2 linked regions of the Schizosaccharomyces pombe genome follow. The gene in region 1 interacts genetically with each later gene. Each region holds a gene or a part of one and is shown on either strand. Other genes may lie near its edges.

Region 1 (3,760 bases):
AGTCTAATTTGACGACTCCTCGTAATGAAAAAGACAAAGTTCAAATTCAAAGCGGTACGGAGTTTGGCGTGACTCTGGGAACTCCGATTGGAATGCTGGTTCTAAACCAAGATCAGAAACCACACGATTATTCCGATATGGACAACTACCCTCGTCCTTCTCACGCTGATTATACCTACTTGGAGAAATACGGTGTCAAGGCATCTTCGGGTGGTGGTCGATCCAGTGCCCGTGAAACCATTGGACGAGTCGCGGCTGGTGCAATTGCTGAAAAGTATCTCTTAGAAGCTTATGGTGTCGAAATCGTTGCCTTTGTTTCCAGTGTAGGCAAAATAGCCATTCCATTGCACGAAACCGCTTCTTCCGCCATATTGGACCCAGAGGATGATACATTTGAATCTCCTATAACCGCTGAATATCTGAAATTCCTCAATAAAATTACGAGAGAGGAAGTCGATAAAACCACTGTTCGTTGTCCTCATGCTGCGACGGCCGCCAAGATGGCTGAACGTATTACTCGAGCTCGTGATAACCACGATTCCATCGGTGGTACTGTAACCTGTGTGATCCGTAATGTTCCCACCGGTCTTGGTGAACCATGTTTTGACAAACTTGAGGCCAAGCTTGCTCATGCCATGATGAGTATTCCTGCCACCAAGTCTTTTGAAATTGGCTCAGGCCGTGAAGGCTGCAAAGTTGCTGGATCCAAGCATAACGATCTTTTTTACCGAAATGCTGATACTGGCAAGCTTGGTACCTTGACCAATAACAGTGGAGGTGTCCAAGGTGGTATTTCCAATGGCGAAAACGTTTACTTCACCATTGGCTTTAAGTCTCCTGCTACCATCGGCGTAGAACAGTCAACTAGCCGTTACGATGGTAGTGACGGTGTTCTTGCTGCCAAGGGTCGTCATGATCCCTGTGTTGTTCCCCGTGCCATTCCCATCGTTGAAGCCATGGCTGCTCTTGTCGTTATGGATGCTGTCATGATTCAACAAAGTCGTATTGCCTCTCGAAACCTACTCCCCAATGCTCAATAAATTAAAAAAAGTTAAAAATAAGCTAGTTTGGGGGCAAGAATCTCACTTCAATTGAGTTAGCCTACTGGATTATCTTATTTTGATGCGCCAAAAAGAGAGGATTAGATATACCTTTTGTCTCTTAGATTACATATGTACATTTTTTTTGGAGGGTAAATTTAACACAAATTAAGGCATATTTAACAGATACTTGTCAATATAGTGTGTAAGATTATAAATGAATATTTTTAAAAAAAGTAAAAAATTTAATACACAAGAAAAACTAAAGAAGTGTTGCAAAGAGTATAAGACCTTCTCTTCAACTAGCAATTGATGTTTGTTTGTATGCAGATTTTTTTCATGTTTATTACACAGACACCTGCGGTACACAATCTAAATTGGTGACCAAATATAGCTTTTGCCATTCTCTTTTAATCTTGCCATTGATTTTTCTCTCATCTAAGTATTCATACTTACACACTGTGTATGCAATTATGATATATTATACCGGCAGTTTGGTCATGTTGCAAAAAATTTTTTTTGCTAATGCCGTTTATCGGCACATCGTCTATGCTTGTAGATGAAGTAAAGGATTATTATTATGTAAAAAAAAAAATCTTTGGATTTATGGGTTTTACTATCAACGTTTCCATACTTGTGAGAAAAAGTGGTAGTTGTTTTAAAGTAATATTTTGAATAATCGAAATTTGTTATAGAATATTTCTGATGTTCCACACATTTTACGTACCAAAAAACCTCTGTAAGAAAATAGTATTCTATTATGAAGCCTTCTTCTCAGGCGTACTTCTCGTTAGTCCCACCTATGATGAAATAGCAACCATCCCGTCTACTATCTGGAAAAGGAGGATTACGTATAGTAGTGTAATACGGAATAGTGAAAGGTACTTCGCAAAAATGATCATTCCAAAAGTGCTCATCGTCATCCCTCACCAGGTGTCGTGCTACGGTATAGATGTACCTAACCTTTTCCAACCACCAGTATAACGTAGGCTTGATTTTAAACAAGATATTAATCAATTTTGGAGATTGAGGACTACTAAAAATCTACAAGTCTTAAAGAAGAAATAAATTTCAGAGTCATTTAGCTTGGTAGCTTTACGACTATAGCCCCGCCGAAATACGAGTTGCCTAGTCCCCGATAGAGGAAAAGCTCGATTAGTAAATCCGGTAATTCATGTACTTATTGACTATTGAAGCTATTTAAGAGGACTCGAGGAACACTTCCTGATGGGATCAGTGAATAATGAAGAAAAAACTTTAATTGAGCCACAACGTCTTTTACGGAAAAATACTTGGCATCCAGAGGTAGACGATAGCGAAGTTCCTCCTTCTGTCTTTCCTGAATATCCCGTCCACAAGGCCATCCAGAAAACGTCCGATTCATTTCGTAAACGGAACTACAGCGCGGGAGATTATGTAATAGCCCCGTTGGGCGGAGAACGTGAAGGAAGTTCGTTAACTCACTCATGGACTTTTCAACCTGGTAAGCATAACCAGCGTCTTTATTCTGATAATTTTCAAGAGGCTCAGCGCCAGTGGAAGCGCCTGCAAGAATGGGGCGAGGTGAAGGAAACAAAAAAGATAAGAAAGCGGTTTGATCGGTTTTCGGGTCGTAAATACATTAACCACTATGAGATTATAAAAGAACTAGGACGTGGTATGCACGGTAAAGTCAAGCTTGGCCGTGATACCGTTACCCGCGAACTGTTGGCGATCAAGATCATCCCGAAGACGGAACGTCGTCCGAAACTGGGCCGAGCCAATGCTTCCAGTCAAAAGGAAAAAGTTCGTCGCGAAATTGCCATCTTAAAGAAATGTGTCCATCCTAATGTCGTCCGCTTGCGCGAGGTCATTGACGATCCATCCTCAACGAAGGTGTATCTTGTTTTAGAGTACATGAGTGGTGGGGAAGTGCCATGGACAGATTGTGACTCCCCCGTACTCTCGATTAGCGAGGCAAGACAATACTTTCGCGATGTTGTCTTGGGTCTAGAGTATTTACATTACCAAGGCATTATTCATCGAGATATTAAACCCGCCAACCTTCTCCTTAACTCTTCTAATTGTGTCAAAATATCTGATTTTGGTGTTTCGTACATTGCCAACGCTGGCCTGAATGAAGACAACGACGTTGAGCTTGCAAAAACTGTCGGCACTCCTGCTTTTTTCGCCCCTGAATTGTGCTGGACCGATTTGGATCGCCCAAGGCCTAAGATTTCTGAAGCAATAGACGTATGGGCTTTAGGCGTTACTTTGTTTTGCCTTTTGTTTGGTCGTTGTCCATTTAATGCTAGCATGGAGTATGAGCTTTTTGACAAAATCGTCAATGAGCGTCTGAACATCCCTTCTACACCCGACATTGGTGAAGAGGGTCGAGATTTGCTTAAAAGATTATTATGCAAAGATCCTGAACAACGTATAACACTTGTAGAAGTAAAACTTCACCCATGGACATTGGATGGCTTGAAGGATCCTGAAAAATGGTTGCAAAACACTGATCCCAGTACCGTCAGTCGTGTTGAGGTTTCTACAGACGAAGTTGCTTCTGCAATCAGCCTTGTGGGTCGTCTTCGCAGAAAACTTGGTAAGCTGTTTCGTTTCCGCCGTCCAAAAGCGCGAGTGTTTGATTCTTCCTCCTCTGTTCCTTCCGACTCTTCCATTTGTCGGCCTGAGAGCTCTGGTAATTCTTCAATTGGTTTATCCGCGTCCGAGTTGTCCGA
Region 2 (3,428 bases), 370 kb from region 1:
TTCATGACACAAAGACAGGTACTAATCCCATTTTGCGACTTGTTATTATCTCTCTCATTCCTATTGCAGCAGGCTTTGGTATGTCAGGTTTCTTTGGTGGTATGGCTTGTTGTTTGGGTCCAGCCTTTGGATTGTGCTGTAAAAAGTTTCCATCTATTTTTGCTGCAATTGCCCACACGATCCAAATTTTCATCTTCATTGCTATTTTTGAAGTCTGCTGGTTCCTTGATGGATGGTCATTACCCAAGACTGTGTTGGCCTTCTGTGCTGTTACTGCAATTCATCGTTTTATCTTCAAAATTTTAACACTATTATGTTTATCTCGTGAGGTCAAACAAGATAGTGCTAATATTTCTTGGTGGAGTGGTAAATGGTATGGCAAAGGATATGGCTATCATGCCTTTACTTTGCCTGCTCGTGAATTTGTCTGTAAAGCCATAGAACTTAATTTGTTTGCTACTGATTTCTTCTTGGGTCACTTATTACTGTTTTTTATGCTTCCTGTGATTTGTATCCCATATATTGATCGTTGGCATTCAGTTCTTCTTTTCTGGTTGCGCCCAAGTCGTCAAATTCGTCCTCCTATTTTCTCTACCAAGCAGAATAGACTGCGGAAACGTATTGTTCGTCGTTATTCAGCCTTGTACTTTTCAATTTTGGTAATATTCCTTATTCTTATTATTGTTCCATTGGCAGCTGGTGCAGAAATCCGCCAAGGATTAACTGCTTCTGAGGCTGTTGCCAAGGGTGCTGTTGGATGGAACCAAACTAACTCTTCAATTGGTAGCGGTATCATTCAACCAAGGGACACGAATTATACTGCTAATTATTCTTTCTGGTACGACAGATACCATTTCGAATTCAATACCACTTACTAGATGGGATTATTAGAAAAATCATTTAAAATGAATTTGAAAAGATGCGCTAGTTCGCTATTATATTACACTGATGTTCTGATGAGCTTTCGTCAAGTATCTCAGCAATTTATTAATTTTATTTGTTACACTCATTTCATTCATACATTTCAGCATGTGCTTGGTCCCATCTCTTCGACTTGAGTTATTGAGCTCTGAAGGATAAAAGCAAAGCTAAAGGGTTAACCGTTTATCATTTTTTACTCATACCATCTTTCTATCTACGTTACATTTGCTATTTCACCATTTACAAGTTTGAGATTGATGAGTTTTGTTACAAGCCTTTTCAGGTTACAGTTTGATGGGCTAGGATTTTATGCATATATATACATTTCTTCATTTATCTATATACAAATGAATAAGAATTCCCATTGGTTCACAAAACTTTTACCTATATTATTGCTGGTCAGTTAATGGATATTTGTTTAAAATATAAGGTGATGTAATTGTGTAAAAGTATTGAAGTAGATTATGATACCGTACATAAATTGATCTTTTGGTTGAATACTTATTATCTAGTGAACGTTTAATTTAGGTTTTTCAGATCAATAGAAAGTTTGAAATAACCACTCTAGTGTGCAATTCCATTTCTCTTTTGTATCACACAAGTGGAAGGCTGAACAACTAATCAACTTAATCGTAAAAGTTATCAGACGCCCTATCCTTGTATTAGTTATGGATATCTGAATGGACTCATGATTACAAGATTACGAGCGTCCTTTCATCCATTTGATATACTAGTTGTCAAAACGATATTAGAAACTATATATGTGTACAAAATTTTATTTTTAACATATCATTTTCATTAAAAATCATCAATTTGAATTTCTTTTTATTTTAATTTTAAATCAGTTTAGTAGTTACCGTGCAGTGCGTAAATATTGAAAATTGAATCTAGGCTCATTTAAAGCGTTTTACTAGCGATAAATATAATAATGAAACATAAAATAACACGCACTAACTTGTTACCGCAGTCGAATGAAATGGAGTGAAAATAGGAAAGAATCCTTTTGTGGTTCGAATACCAATCTGGTTCTTGAGACAAACAAATCTATTAGGTTTTTATATTTTTATAGTAATGGTACAGCTATTCGGTGGGGCTCTTTGTGCTGATTTCCCTCCTAAATTTCTCGATGCTAGCGTTTTGCGTCAGATTCCTGACAACCAAGAGGTGTTTTTGCAAGATTCCAAGGAAAACCTAACAGTGATCATTGAGCTTTTGGAAAAAATTGAGAAGCCATTTGATGGAAGTGTGGCAGCTTACCATTTCAATAGCATTGCATTCGATAATGATGCATCTCAAAGAGTAATTTGGAGAGACAAAAGTCTTGGTGAAGACGACTTTGAGGGCATGAGAAGCGAAAAGGCTAGTGGATCTTCTGTACAAGGTTGTCAGAGGGTCCTTGAAAAAGGAAAGCGAAATCCTGAATCCGCTACCAATGTGGCAATCTTCGTGAATGTGATAACTTTGATTGACTTTCAAACAGATATCGTAATCTCCGTAAATGCTCCTTTACCTAACACTTCCTCAGTTCCCTCTTCTGTTGAAAACATTCCCCCTTCTGATCAAAGCATCGTTCGCGCTGCTCTCGAAACAATACAGCGAGTTACTCGATCTCTTGTACTTGTCGATAAAACAGTATTTGCTTAAAGGATGATGGACATAGGCAAGCAAATTAACTAGCCCACAACACTTAATTAAGATTTTCATCTAGGGAAATACTTTTCAAGTTTTATTTTTCTTTATCCGAAAGGAATTGTTTCTCTTATTTATAAAAACCGGTTATTCCAACTTGTATGAAGGGTTTTAATAAAAACATCTGATACTTGATAACCGATTAGCAATGGTTTTCACTTTTTCTGCTATTATTTTAATTTTCCCATTCTTCCATTGTTAATAGTATAAGTTTCACTGTGTCTTTACAGTTTAATGTTTTATGATTTGAGAGTACAACGTAAAACGCTAGTTTCCAAAGAATAACGGAAATTACAATTTCAAGGTGTTTTGATTGTACAGCTTTTGTCCTTTACACTGCCGCTGTAGGACAGTGGTGATTAAAACAAGTTAATCATAAAGAATTATTAAACATTAAAATACTTTCTAATTGTCCCTAACTCCGTGCAAGTAAAGAACAAATATAGCGAATGAAACAATCTTTATGATTGAAACCTGTAAACGACTGACTAGAAAATACTGAATAAGAATTACCAAAAGATAGAAGATCTCTTCATTGAGAGGAGCTTTTCCACCCTTTGCAATAAAGAAAACAAACATTTAGGATATCATCATACGAAGAAGAACAGAAAAGAAGTAAAAGACAGAAAGTTCATCCCCCAAGACGGGTTCCTTTTCCGGGGAAAGAAGAAAAGGTCGACAGAGGTTCCGCAATGGGGAGTTGAGCATGCGACAGTTGATCAAAAGAGTGATAGTTTTTTACCCAAGACTGGAAGATTGGGTCCACATTTTGAGCCCAGCTTTTTAAGGGGATAGAACCAAGCATGAAAGGAGTACAA

Evidence for each region.
Region 2: of ssp1 (region 1) and mog1, a mutation in one rescues a mutant of the other (synthetic rescue), as found in Schizosaccharomyces pombe (one study listed by BioGRID).

The regions. Positions count from the first base shown.
Region 1 is NC_003421.2:1,876,447-1,880,206, forward strand, and holds the start of ssp1 (calcium/calmodulin-dependent (CaMKK) protein kinase Ssp1), read left to right. Parts: upstream 1-2,000; 5' UTR 2,001-2,267; coding exon 2,268-3,760. Other genes in the region: aro2 (chorismate synthase), read left to right, coding at 1-1,040. UniProt on the Schizosaccharomyces pombe protein: Involved in actin localization and thus in polarized cell growth.
Region 2 is NC_003421.2:2,246,729-2,250,156, reverse strand, and holds mog1 (Ran GTPase-binding protein Mog1), read left to right. Parts: upstream 1-1,951; 5' UTR 1,952-1,992; coding exon 1,993-2,565; 3' UTR 2,566-2,796; downstream 2,797-3,428. Other genes in the region: cell wall and secondary septum 1,6 branched 1,3-beta-glucan synthase catalytic subunit Bgs4, read left to right, coding at 1-878; Golgi rhomboid protease Rbd2, read right to left, coding at 3,242-3,428. UniProt on the Schizosaccharomyces pombe protein: Involved in the Ran-GTPase system for nuclear protein import and poly(A)+ mRNA export. Required for mitosis-to-interphase transition.